Linked DNA regions of Bombyx mori. The main gene of each other region encodes a partner of the protein of the gene in region 3 in a complex. Links are inferred from orthologs where the notes say so. Each region holds a gene or a part of one and is shown on either strand. Other genes may lie near its edges.

Region 1 (5,066 bases), on a different chromosome or scaffold from region 3:
CCAAGTGCCACCGCAAAAGACATTTTAATTACATTTGAAAGTAAATTAATTAAATACACCACTAATATTAAATATAAAAAATTAAATTATATTTTTTTTCAATATAAATCGATTTAAACAATAATTAATTAAGTTTATTTTCAAGGCTTACAGATTACTAGGCTGCACTAAAAGTATCGGGAATGGAATATTTCCACTGTTCCTGTCATATTAAAATCTTTTTAATTGAAAACTCCTTGGTTTTAAAAATCGAATACCATTTATTTATTTAAAAAAAGATTCTCGGTCTTGTCACGAGGTTTTGTCAAACTTGTTTAGTCGTTGAGAAAATGGAATTGACTCGAGAAAATTCAAGAGCGATGATTTATTATGACTTTCGAAGTGGTTTAACACAAAAACAGTGTGTTGACCGGATGATTTCTGCATTTGGTGATGAAACCCCATCCAAAACCACAATTTATCGCTGGTTTGCTGAGTTTCAACGTGGACGTGTCAAACTCAGTGATGATCCCCGTCAAGGTCGTCCAAAAACTGCAGTCACCCAAGAAAACGTTGATGCTGTGCGTAAGCTGATTGAGGAAGATCGACATGTGACATACCGCGAAATTCAGGCAACTTTAGACATTGGCATGAGTCAAATACAAATAATCTTGCATGAACAATTAGGTGTAAAAAAGTTGTTTTCACGATGGATACTGCATTCGCTCTGTGAAGAGCAAAAAGCGGCTCGCGTTACTTGGTGCGTCAGAACTCTCGAAAGATTCCACGCAGGATCCTCAAATGCTGTATACAACATTGTATCAGGTGACGAATCCTGGATATACGCGTACGAACCCGAAACAAAAAACCAGTCACGAGTTTGGGTGTTCGCAAATGAGTTAAAGCCAACAAAAATTGTTCGTTCACGGAGTGTTGCAAAAAAAATGGTGGCCACGTTTGTCTCCAAAACCGGCCATGTTACGACTATTCCTCTTGAGGGACAAAGAACGGTTAATGCAGAATGGTATGCTAGCATTTGTTTGCCACAGGTCGTTTCTGAACTCCGTAAAGAGAACTGCAACCGCCGCATCATCCTCCATCACGACAATGCGAGTTCTCACACCGCGCAGAAAACAAAAGAGTTTTTAGAGCAAGAAAACATAGAATTATTGGACCATCCGCCGTACAACCCCGACCTAAGCCCTAATGATTTCTATACTTTCCCTAAAATAAAGAATAAATTGCGTGGACAGAGATTTTCATCACCTGAAGAAGCTGTGGACGCCTACAAAACGGCCATTTTGGAGACCCCAACTTCGGAATGGAATGGTTGCTTCAATGATTGGTTTCATCGTATGGAAAAATGTGTCAAATTTCACGGAGAATACTTCGAAAAGCAATAAATACAATTTTAAATAGTAATGTTGTGTCACTTCGTTAATTCCCGAAATTTTCAGTGCCGCCCTCGTATAACCTAACCTCTTAAATCTTTTTGTTAACTCACCCTTTGTATTATTTATCTCCACGCTCAAAACGCTCTTTAATCCATTCCACTTGAGTTTATGACAGTAACGCTCACAAGCAAGTGGAACGGGAAAAATTGCGGTCGTGAGTGTGTTCGTTGAGAACGCTTAGTGGAACGCACCCTATAAGATTAAATTTAGCAAAAAATGTTGAAAGAGCCTTGTAAACTTATTTTGCAATTATTGTCGTATTTATAATACGAAATTGGTTGCACTATTTTTTTACTATGGGTCATTCTGACACGTTTAACCGAATGAATTATATAGTTTAGCCTAGTTTAGTCTGGTCTAGACCTAGCCTGGTCAGGCCTAGCCTGTTCTGGTCTAGTCTAGTCCGAGCTTGTCTAGTCTAGTCTCGCCTTACTTATATCTTCAAATCTCGTTTCGTCTACTTTTAGTTTACCTTACATTAATAAGCTTGGCTTCAGCTTTTGTAATAAGTCTTGGTAGTATGGGCTGTATTGTCTTTGCCTGTCTATTAGATCAATCAAACAAATAACATGAAGTGTGCTTTTGTTTTGAATTTTAGGTTATAAAATTTTAAACAATATTTAACGCTACCTAGTTTAATAGATTTGATTGAACATATCCGAAAATGGTGAAAAAGAAAATTGATAATCGTATCAGGGTTATGATAGAGAATGGAGTTAAACTTGGCCATCGCACCATGTTTCTTCTCATTGGAGACAAAAGCAGAGATCAGGTAAATGAAAAATTCTTCAAATAATAAAATAAGCATGGTGATAAAATTAAAGACTTCATGTTAAGCAGATACAAGTACACAGTATACAAGTACCTATGTACTTTTCCTGTCTTTAAAACTTAAGTATCTAAAAACAATACAATTGTAATACATATCTACATTGATATTTGAATATTGGCTTTATATTTATGAAAATGTACGGTATTAAAATTTGTGATGCACATATTATATTTCTAAATGTAACTAATTTTTCTGTGAGAAAAAAACATTTCTATCATTAAAATTTCTCAGACACCACAACAATTATTCCTGCCTGAGCTTCGATCAACTGAGATATCAAGTTGCAATCAGAACAATTGGTACATTAGCTATCTATATCCAGCAAGACGTGTCACGCAAATCGCATTTTAAATCAATTTAACAAAAAATCTTAAAAAAACTTATTTCAGGTGCCCATTTTATATGATATGTTAGTCAAATCGACAGTAAAGGCTAGGCCAACAGTACTCTGGTGCTATAAGAACAAAGATGAAGCAATTAGCAAGTAAGTAACAATTTTTAGACAATTGTATTGTAACAATAGTTAACTACCCAAAACAATACATGATTTCATACTTTAAGAATATTGATTATAAATGAATTCCTTTTAGTCATGGTCGTAAAAGAGCCAAGAAAATAGCAGCTGGAAAACTGGAAGTCTCCGAAGAATCACTGTTTGATGCATTCAGAGTGGCCACTACTATTCACGGTAGATATTATTCAGAAAGTCATGCAATGCTCGGTCAGACATATGGAGTTTGCGTTTTGCAAGTAAGTTACAAATTAAAAAGACATGTTTTGAAAGGTATGCCATATAAAGCTACACCAAAAACTAGAGTGGCTCATGTAAAATTTGGTTATTGGCTACCATCCAGTAACTACATTTTTTCATGGTAAAATGCAAACAGTAAAAAAACTTTCAATTTTTAAATTAAATTTTAATTTTTTACTGGTGGTAGGACCTCTTGTGAGTCCGCGCAGGTAGGTACCACCACCCTGCCTATTTCTGCCATGAAGCAGTAATGCATTTCGGTTTGAAGGTTGGGGCAACTGTTGTAACTATACTTGAGACCTTAGAACTTATATCTCAAGGTGGGTGGCGCATTTACGCTGTAGATGTTTATGGGCTCCAGTAACCACTTGACACCAGGTGGGCTGTGAGCTCGTCCATCCATCTAAGCAATATAAAAAGACAAAAACCAATGATGATCTGACATGAGGTCAAATTTTTGGTTTAATGTATATGACGTTTATTTTTAGGATTTTGAAGCTCTCACCCCCAATTTGATGGCACGAACAATTGAAACTGTAGAAGGGGGTGGTCTTATAATATTCTTACTTAAAACCATGGATTCTCTGAGACAACTACATTCAATAACAATGGATGTACACTCAAGGTATTATTCTGTTCTTAATCACTACATAGTATAAAACAAAGTCGCTTTCTCTGTCCCTATATCTGTCTGTCCATACATAGGGGCAAAATTGTAATTAGGTACTAGTGATGGTGGTAGGGCGTTTTGTGAGTACCTTATATAAGAAACTAAATACATATCTATACTATCTATAATAATATTATATAATCACTACACAGTATAAAACAAATCGCTTTCTCTGTCCCTATATCCCTATGTATGCTTAAATCTTTAAAACAACGCAACGGATTTTGATGCGGTATTTTTTAATAGATAGAGTGATTGAAGAGGAAGGTTTATATTTATAATAATATCCATTAAATAGTGGAGAAATCAATAATAAATTACAGTTTCCGAAGCGAGGCGAGGGCGGGTCTCTAGTTTCTAATACAATACTGTAATGAAAAAAATAACTTTTAAATAAAGTATGTTGTGCCATTTGTATTATTATTATTTATATACACGAATTGACAAGCTCTCTTGAAGAGTTGCTCTACAATAATTGATCCCAATTAAAATGCAAATTGCCCTACTACATTTAAATACCATATCATTATAATCTCATGAGAACAGTATAAACGTCCAGTGACAACTACAATTTTAGTTAATTTAATATTTTCACAATAAATTTTATAATACTTTTAAGAGAAATAAAATAAAATTTATATTTAATTTACAGATTCAAAACTGAAGCTTATGACACAGTGGTCAATCGTTTCAATGAAAGATTTCTATTGTCTCTAGCAGATAACCCTAGATGTTTGGTACTTGATGATTCACTGACGGTTCTGCCGATATCATCCAAAACCGCCCAAATCGACCCTGTAGATGCTACACCAGAGGTAACAAATAGATTTTTGAAATTTTAATAGTAATTTATATATTATTTTGATGAATACAATGGAGGCCAACAAAATGGTTATGAATTTTGAGAGATAAAATTATAAAATTTATATATGTAATGCAAATTTCATTTCGATCGGCTCATTGTAATTTGGTTGGTGACTCTGACTACAATACCACAAACACTATGTCTGTGTTAGATTTCAGTTCAGAGTCAATATCATAATGAAAGATATTTGGTATTTGGGGACTGAGTGTCCCATTAAATAAAATAAAATATAATTACGTCAATGTAAAAAAAAATACTAGACAGAGAAAACATTTGTAGAATATATCATTTTGCTTTTTGATTATTTTTAAACACAGCCCTTTAGGCCAATCTCAATTCACAAAGTCCTCTTGCAGCAGTTTTCACTCCACTTTATTATTTGCTATTTCGAATAGTAAATAACCTAGTATTTTAAGTCACCAGATATCTTCTGTTCTTAATTAAAACCTCTTATAAGCCATTTGTTCAAGCCAGTGCCTTCAATTATTTTAGAGCAATGTCAAAGATGCTAGCCT
Region 2 (4,993 bases), on a different chromosome or scaffold from region 3:
TGGATTGCAGGCAAGTGCAAAGTGCATGTGAACCCTAATCCTGATATTAAACCAACATATATGGGCATCCAAAATTAATAAAAAATTATAAAGGATTTATCCTTTTGAAGTCGTTATGGCCTAAAGTATAAGACGTCCTATGCATTTGCATGTAGTGATGCATCAGTGTTTCAGGTACCAATTTTTTCAATGAAATACGTACTCAACAAATATTCACGATTGACTTCCATGGTGAAGGAATAACATCGTGTAATAAAAATCTGCTTACATTTAGCTGCTTACAAAAATGCTTACATTTAGGGGCCTCTTTACAGCTGATGATACATTATTAGATGATGAATCTCCACAAAGTGAACATAGTTGACCAGGCGCATCCTCTGTATCTATTTTTATCATACCAACACAGCTTCCCACACCACTACAAACAGCTTTCAACCAATTCTTCAGGTCATCATTTGTAAGCTCTGAAGGTACTTTTACTGTATAATTTTTGCTTCCAGATGAGACCTATAACAAAATTAAGTTTTAGTTTACAATGAATACTATAATACTGACCTTAGTTAACTTGTTAGACCTGAAAATTGTAGTTTGTGAACAATAGTTGCAATCTAACCCACAAATCTAGATAGTGGTTCAGTACTATAATTTTATTCACCATATAAGTATGCAAAAATTATTTTCTGTGCCACCTGTAAGCCTTGAATCTATTTCAACATTTCTTTTCATTCCTGTAGGCTCTATAGAGCTGTTAAGGCCTCTAGCTACTTCACTGAAGATTGTAGGTTCAATTACTATCAGGCAAGCATTCCTGTGATAAACAGATTTGCTTGCTCTTGGCTGGGTGCTGTAATAGGTGGTTTTGACTAATAATATTTTAGAAATATTCCAGAAATATTTAGTTTTTATCTATGTTTTTACTGTTATTATGATTTTTTCTGCTTGAATTGCAATGGTGCTATAAGGACATGTAAAGGATTTCTAAAATTTGTGTAATAGTTTAGATGGATTCTCATAAATGAAAAATGTATAATTCGTTCAGGTGTTTACAACACTGAAACATTGTGGTATATATTTTTTTTTATATATTAATATAATAATGTTATATATCAAATCAAATGATGAAATAAAGTTTATTAATGTTTTTAGGTTTCTGAATATTTATTTTTTATCTTGAAGTTTGTTATACCTCTAATGCGATAAAAACAATATAAAATGATTGCTAAAACATCAGGTTGTGACATTTTATTTAGAGAATACACATAGAAAGGGTGAAAGGCTATAAATCAAATAGCAACACTTCTGCATCTTTACATCAAAGCCACTGAAGTTCAATTAAAAACATTGAACTGTTGATGCTTATATCACATAAAATGCACCTTCAATTAACAAAGATAAATGTCGCATATTAAGCAAAATTTAACTTATACCAAACATATATATAGATAATATATATAAATAGCCTTCCACACCTCAATATATGAATTGATGTATGTATTTCATATTTTAAATTTTTAAAACTTGCAAATGAAGAAAACGTTACCTGTACTTTATTATTATTAGAATAGCTACTTGATGCAGTCATTATTGCTCTTGTCAATCTTTGAGGGTCTGGATGTACAATTAATAGTTCCTTAGCAAGAGCTTCAGCAGCACCTGAAGGCCCAGACCCTGAAATTGTACTGGGTAACAAGCTATTTCCACCAGTACAGCTGTTTCGAATACAAAGTCTCACTAGAGGAGCCGGTGTTGATGTAGGTGTTGTAGAGGAGTTTCCAGCACCAGTAGAACCACCTTCTGGCAAAGCAGGATTAGGTATACCAGTAGGTCTAAGTTTAAACCTGAAATGAAATAAAATTACCTAGCATTGAATACTTTACAACTATGAAACTACCACATTGGTCTGTTGGTTAGTAAGTAGCTCTCACTATTACTACTGGGTCTTACATTGATCGGTGGTTAGATCATATATTTCATTATTAAATGTCTAGGTATACTTATTCTTATCCAGTATGGGTCTTTCTCACAAAAGATTAGAAAACTCTAATTCTAGTCATTAAACGTAGACTGTTTAACTTTTCTTTCAACAAGATAATGAGAAAGATCACACACAACAATACCGAACAATGTATTTTCATAATATAAAACAATATTTGTCTAATTACATCTCAATTCAATCAATAATTCTAAGTTTCTCAAAATGTAATAGTTCCAAAATTGTACTAATAGATGTTAATAATGTTACACACCTTGATGGAGTTGTAGCACTTTTGTAGCACTGACCAGGTGGCTGCAAAGGATGACCTGCTCGAGCACACCACCCCACAGGGAATATATCCCTAGAATCATATCTACACCAGTAATCAAATGCTCCTCTCCAACCATCAAATGTAACATGGATTTGGTCATTTTTAACTGCTCCAACTGTTGCACAGCATATCAACTGCGGGTTCTTTTTATCAACTGCTTCCAACTTTTGACCAACAAAAAATAAATTTGATTTGGGAGTAGGTGGCTCATCTTGAAATACTTTAGCAGGAGCCATTTGGGCTCCATTCAAAGTCTTGAGCAAAAACATAGGCCAACTGCTTGCATTCATGCGAAAGCCGAGTGGAGGTTGTAGCATTCCATCATGTTTTTCACAGTGTCCTATGGGGTGTATATCTCCAGCATCAACGAGTCGCCAAAAGTCATTTTTATTATCGCTTCCGTCCAATCTCAGTCTCAACCTTGGACCCAAAACACCAACAACAGTTGCAATGCATGTTGATGTCAGATTACGGGGATCCAATGCTTCGAGCTTCATCCCAACTTTAAAATCATTGATGGGTGGCATTGGTGCTTGTTTAAAACATTCTTGAGGTGCGGGTACACTGTTTGTTTCTTTCATGTATTCAGTCCAGTCAAAAGGTTGGTAAATATCATAAAATGAACCCGTAGAATTGTTGTTAGAATTACTTTCAGTTCCGTTTGCTCCGTTTCCAGACTGTGGTGATGTGGTACGTTTTTCATTTTTCTTCTGATAAATGTTCAAACAATGCGTAGAGCAGAAATTTTTGCTGCTAGAAGGTACATTACCGCGTATAACTGTGTCACAATGTAGACACGCGCCTTTGCTGTACGCCTGTCTGAACTCTGAGAGACATGTTTCGGAGCAAAACTCTTTTTTACCATTTTCCGTCGGTAGAACATATTTTAACGGAGTCTTACTTTCAGCACACCATGTACAAGTACGTTTCGGAGGTCTACCAGGACCACGTATTTTGCCGGGAGCTGGCCCCGACGAGCCGACAGTATTATTCGACATTGTTTTATTGTAACTTTCAACGCATAATTAAACACATTCTCACTTTCTGTCAATGAACTTGAAATTTATTGTATTTTTCGCAATATTTTAATGCTGTAATCACTATTACGACGGAAAAGATACTTAAATAAGCTCAAATATAAACAACGTCAGACAGTAGGTATTTTGGGTAGGTACCTATTTATGACGCGCTTGGAAATTCGAGCGGCCATATTAGTTTTATTAAATTTCGGATACATGATAGAAAGTAACTAGAGATATGTCTTGATTAAAATTAGATAATTTGATTAAATTTTCGAGGGCTGATGTCACAGTAGCAAAACAGAAAGCGGCATGAGACATAATTTTAATAAAAAATTACTTAAATTACCCATGCTTTAAAAATACGGTTAAGTAGTAGCATTTACAGTTTCTTTGCTCAAAATACCAATACAGAAAACACAACAAAAATATATTTAACTTATCACAAATATGGCATATTTTTTTATCAATAAAGTAAGATTGTCTATTAAATGAGATAAATGCTCTGCCGGATGCAGTGAGAAGTGCTTCAACTTTAAAAGAATGGTGTAGGAACATAACTGCATATTGTTTGTTGCTTATAAGCTTTACTTGTAAATATATATATGCGCAATGTAGGCGTGAGGTGATGGTTTGCTTATTAGATGTAACATAATTAATAATTGCGAATTTAATTGTTTTTATGATCGAACAATCACCAAAAGTCGTCGAACAAACGATAATTGATCAAAATTAATTAATCTGAATGATAAAAATAAAGATATCTAGTAAGAGGTGCCAACTTAAGGGTGATCAATTGTTTAAGTAATTATAAATAAATAAAAGACGAACAAACAATTTTTACATTCGAACATTAACGAAGAAACGACGAACAAATAATTATAAATAAAAAAAATCCGAAAATAAAAAAAGGTGGAGCCAAATTCAGTGAGCCGACTGTCAGGGACGCATTCTTGCAGCGATGTAAAATGTACTCTATAGAGTGTAAATTATAGTTGCAATATAATAGCGGACTTTTTGGAGGGAGCGCGAGGAGTGAAGTTGTGTGATTTGTTTTAATTGGCCTATTTAGTGTTTCTTCAGATTTAAATATATAATAATGGTGGTTTATTATCTGTTTAATATCTGTGAAAGTGCACAAATGTGGGAAAATGAAACAAAGCCGCTGGACGTAACTTCTTGGGATCCCCCAAAAAGTCAACTGAAAAAAATCTCAGTAAATGACCACCATTTCATTGAGATTATAGTGTTCTGTGGGCACACTCAAATATATTAAGTGTATATATGGGCACAACAAAGTCAACTTCGGTGTACGGACTTTTTGGCGGGAACGCGAGGAGTGAAGTTGTGTGATTTGTTTTATTTTGTCTCATTAGTGTTTCTTCAGGTTTAAATGTGTAATAACGGTGGTTTATTAACTACTTAGTATCTGTGAAAGTGCACAAATGTGGGAAAATGAAACAAAGATACTGAACGTTACTTCTCGGGATCTTCCAAAAAGTCCACTGTAAAAGTCTCAGTAAATGATCGCCATTTTACTGAGATTATACTTATCATCTCATCCCATATCATCTCATCTCATTTCATTTCATTTCGTTTTCATTTCACTTCATGCCATCTTTCATAATATTTAACTTCTTTTCATCTCATAATATCATTTTCATATAA
Region 3 (4,364 bases):
TCAAGGTGGGTGGCGCATTTGCGTGATGTCTATGGGCTCCGGTAACGACTCTTAACTCCAGGTGTGCTGTGAGCTCGTCCACACATCTAAGCAATAAAAAAAAAGGTATACTAACAACTAATCCTAAAAAGAACGCACACGAAATTTAATCGATACATTGTCTCTCCATTAGGTCCGATTTCATTCGAATACGTATGTACAGGCGCCCGTGCAGCAGATCGCTCCGCAACAGCAGATGGTCGCCGAGTCGACAACGGATGCGGCCGTATCCGCGACGCCAATCATAAGCTCGGCCGCCTCCGTTCCGAACAACACCGCCGCGGTCACGACCGTCACTACGGCCGACGCGTCTATCTCCACCAGCACATGTATGGGTGAGTGACTTCTAATATACATATATCTTTTTCCTTCTTCTTCTTCTTTGTCGCTTTCTTCATTGCTGAAGGTCGTGTCCCTGAAACTTGACCGTGGCCTGTCTCGTGAACTGTTTCCATCTCGGCCGGTCCTCGGCTTCTCGAATGGCGGTTGCGACTGTATCTTTATATATTATTATATATCTTTATATATATTTTTCCTAATAAATACAAAGTTAGGCGGTTATTGCGGCCGTGAAAGCGTGGGATATTAATGATAGTACCTCTTGATATTTTTCTAAGTAAATACGTACTTAACATGTGCCGGATTCTCTATTAATAAAAACTAGTGGTCCCGCAGTAGTCGAAATTCGACTATAATTAATTGAAATTATAAGTTTGAACATTATTATGGTTATATTGTCAAACACTATTATACTTCTATAATCACAGACTTCGCCAAGACTACACTATAGACAAATAATATTAAAGATAAACAATATTAACCTATTTTCAATTTGACCACAGACTTTAAGCATTAAGTAAAGTTTGACAATAAACAAATATTATGCATGCGTGTGTGTCAAATACATGGCAATGTGTGTAATGTTTTCTTTATAGATTTAATGCATTATTTATAGATTTAATAGATTTATATGCATTATTTTAAAAAATAGTAGCATTGTGCACTCTTTCTCTATATTCTCTATAAGTGTGGGAAACTTCATACTCCTCCGTCCGCGCAATTTTCGTAAAAGGGGGTACAAAGTGTTTGCTTCACGTATTCATATATAGATTGTAAAATACGTTAGTAAATGTTTACGGTTGCCAAAACGGTTTATTTAAATAAATCTTTATACTGTCATGACTTCATGACTGATTTTGAATGCAGTTTTACGACTAGTAAACAAGAAACTCACAACACAGCTTGCTTTCATCCAAATACGTCACGCAGAAAAATTACAAATTATAATTGAATCGATTCATATAATGAGGATAACTTTATTTATGAGAAACAACAGGTCTACACTAACCAAAGATCTGTGTATTCATTGTGCCCATTTAAAAGTACGCACTTTCGTGATTCCTCAGTGTATATAAGTAATTATTGTGAATTATCTAGGGCCACCGCCGCCACCAGACGCGAAGCCGATTTTGTCGAAGAAGGAGATCGTTTCGGTGGCTGACTCAACTCCCTCCTCGGTATCTCCAAGTGTGTCAAACAACTCCACTTCTGTGGCGAGCAGTGCGCAGCAAACGACCCCTATTCTACCGCAGGTTTGTTCTTAGCTTGTAAGTCCTGACGTCTAGAAACGAACAGTGTACGTATTGAGGTCTATGGACAGATTCGACTTTCAAATTGAATAACCAATTCGAAAATATCAAGCTAGATTTCATGGAAATGTCTTTAAATATTAAGAAGTCGAGTTGCCTAATTATTTTTGAGGTTTCTGTGGTTTATTTTTTTGTTAAGGAAACCCATTTATTTTCATTTAAAAAGTGATTATGTAATATATATATACTGATAGATATAGTTGTTTTATACATTTGGAGTCAAAATGTCCTATCATATTGAAGCTCTTTTATTTTGACGATTTCAGTTGATAAATCTTATTCAATACATCTACATCAATACCATGTTTCTTATATACTTAACTAAAATAAGGAAAAACTTTAATACGTGAATGATGTACAGCTGGTGACAACGTCTTCTGTGTCTGCATCCACAATGACTTCGGTGACCACAGCGTCCGTAGCTTCCGGTACATCAACTATGTTCAAGAGCACGCAATGTACTCCGCGTCATATCAGCCAAGCCGCTGCACACGGTAAGACTTGTTTATTGAGTCATTTAGTCATTGCGTCATTTTACTGGTGGTAGGATCTCTTGTGAGTCCGAACGGGTAGGTACCACCACCCCGCCCATTTCTACCGTGAAGCAGTAATGCGTTTCGGTTTGAAGGGTGCCGTTGTAACTATACTGAGACCTTAGAATTTATATCTCAAGGTGAGTGGCGCATTTAAGTTGTAGATGTCTATGGGCTCCAGTAACCACTTAAAACCAGGTAGGTTGTGAGCTCGTCCACGCATCTAAGAAAGAAAAAAAATTTGAACTTATTGAGTAGCAAAACAGGGTCTAAATGTATTGTTCTTGAAATCGTAAACAGTTTGTAGTGCGCGACAGTAAATGTTTTAAGCAACGGCATGCTATACTTAATAGGTAGTTTTGTACACTTAGCCTTGCGCGTTCAATACCAATATGTTTGGTATTCATATTTTTGTACCGGTTTCAGCTTCGGGTGATAGATATTTTCTGAATCCATCTTCTCAAATGGATATTTAAAATAGAAACTTGCATAACACGTTTTGGTCGATGTTAGTATCCTTACACTAAATCTTATGACTTTTGTTGTGGTTACAGACAAAGGGCTCCCCAAAGCTATGGTGAAGCCGAACATACTGACGCACGTGATAGAAGGATATGTCATCCAGGAGGCGGGAGAACCATTCGCGGTATTCTATATTGGTGTTATTAAACAAATTTGACAAAATAACTAGGAACTAGGAACTTACTGGTGGTAGGACCTCTTGTGAGTCCGCGCGGGTGGGTACCACCACCCTGACTATTTCTGCCGTGAAGCAGTAATGCGTTTCGGTTTGAAGGGCGGGGCAGCCGTTGTAACTAAACTTGAGACCTTAGAACCTATATCTCAAGGTGGGTGGCGCATTTGCGTTGTGGAGGTCTATGGGCTCCAGTAACCACTTAACACCAGGTGGGCTGTGAGCTCGTCCACCGACCTAAGCAATAAAAAAGAAAGAACACCGTCGGTCCTATCCGTTTTAATATTTAACGAATAGAGTGACAAACGAATTAAGAATGATTTTAGAACTAGCATTAGCGCTAGAACAGACATATTTAATAAAATAATATTGTCAAATTTAAGTTTAAATAAGTAACGGAGTGTCTTACATATCAATGATAATAAATTTTAAAAACAACTTCTAAATTAGTAATATCATGTAAAATTTCAGGTGAACCGACCTCTACGCGAATGGGCTGACAAAGAAGACAAAGAAAACAAACTGCCCAGTTCGGACGAGCCTCCACGTTAGTTGAATACACGTTTAACATACTCGCTTTTTTTTTTCTTACCTATGCTGATAGGCGAGGCTATATCAGCTTCACCCTAACGTGTGTAGGTGAGCTCTCCCGGGGCTCAAACCGGAGTGTTGCTAGCACTGGCCCTAGCAAGAGCCGTGCTTCGCAGAATCTACCACCGGATCGGAAACGCAACCCACTGAGAAGATCCGGCGAGAAACTCAGTGGGCTGCGTCTGTGGGTTAAAATATTCGCACTGCAACAAACACAATGCTACCCCGCTTTAATGCCTATCAGTGGTCGCATTGTGATCACGCACGGCTTTGTATGCAAATTATTCGCATTTCATACGCCAACCACTAATGCTTAATCACACAATAAATACAATGGGGTCTCCATTCCTATCTTTGACATTTCGTTTTTTTTGCATTAAAAGTGTACAATTTCCAAAAATATTCGAAATTGAATTAAAATGCGAAATCAATTGGTATTTTTCTCATAAATACTGTCAAAAGAGCGTAGTTTCGTTTTTTTTTTCCTGTATTTTGACTACTATTAACAAAATTAATACATAATTTTATTTTACTTTCAAAGACAGATGATGTAACTAATAAAAAATAAATGTTGCAAAAATGATTAATATTAAAAAATTACCACATTTTTTAAACCTTTAAAACACTCTCCTGTAAAATTAGTAAGTTTTGAGATTATACAGTTTTAACGCGAGAAGACGATTTGTTCTATGTTCCACGCAAGTAGCATTGACAAAATGATTTTTTTTGAAGTGAAAACTTCTTTAGAATCGTTGTGATTTCAAACCGGATGCAACGGAAAAAACGACAGGTAAGAGACACAAATACAAAAATGTGTAGGATGAAGCCAGCAAAGAATGAGACAGAAATATACATACT

What was found.
Region 1: PH (region 3) and RNA cytidine acetyltransferase share a complex: the UniProt entries of both Drosophila melanogaster proteins name them as parts of the PRC1 complex. The link is inferred for Bombyx mori from reciprocal best matches to the Drosophila melanogaster genes ph-p and l(1)G0020.
Region 2: the proteins of PH (region 3) and SCM are in contact, whole or in part, in a crystal structure (PDB 1PK1), measured with the Drosophila melanogaster proteins. The link is inferred for Bombyx mori from reciprocal best matches to the Drosophila melanogaster genes ph-p and Scm. Residues at the interface, in NP_476871.2 of Drosophila melanogaster: Gln1537, Gln1538, Glu1539, Ile1540, Asp1541, Gln1543, Ala1544, Leu1547, Leu1548, His1552, Ala1556, Met1557; in NP_001247006.1 of Drosophila melanogaster: Asp819, Ser821, His825, Met848, Lys854, Leu855, Gly856, Pro857, Leu859, Lys860, Asn863.

Annotation. Positions count from the first base shown.
Region 1 is NC_085120.1:8,060,936-8,066,001, reverse strand, and holds the start of RNA cytidine acetyltransferase, read left to right. Parts: upstream 1-1,762; 5' UTR 1,763-2,097; coding exon 2,098-2,205; intron 2,206-2,654; coding exon 2,655-2,749; intron 2,750-2,855; coding exon 2,856-3,015; intron 3,016-3,504; coding exon 3,505-3,641; intron 3,642-4,338; coding exon 4,339-4,501; intron 4,502-5,066. UniProt on the Drosophila melanogaster protein: RNA cytidine acetyltransferase with specificity toward both 18S rRNA and tRNAs. Catalyzes the formation of N(4)-acetylcytidine (ac4C) in 18S rRNA. Required for early nucleolar cleavages of precursor rRNA at sites A0, A1 and A2 during 18S rRNA synthesis.
Region 2 is NC_085129.1:7,206,053-7,211,045, reverse strand, and holds the start of SCM (sex combs on midleg), read right to left. Parts: upstream 3,305-4,993; coding exon 2,247-3,304; intron 1,839-2,246; coding exon 1,541-1,838; intron 508-1,540; coding exon 295-507; intron 1-294. UniProt on the Drosophila melanogaster protein: Polycomb group (PcG) protein. PcG proteins act by forming multiprotein complexes, which are required to maintain the transcriptionally repressive state of homeotic genes throughout development.
Region 3 is NC_085107.1:11,345,085-11,349,448, reverse strand, and holds part of PH (polyhomeotic), read left to right. Parts: intron 1-172; coding exon 173-374; intron 375-1,476; coding exon 1,477-1,631; intron 1,632-2,049; coding exon 2,050-2,182; intron 2,183-2,775; coding exon 2,776-2,867; intron 2,868-3,386; coding exon 3,387-3,462; intron 3,463-4,364. UniProt on the Drosophila melanogaster protein: Polycomb group (PcG) protein. PcG proteins act by forming multiprotein complexes, which are required to maintain the transcriptionally repressive state of homeotic genes throughout development.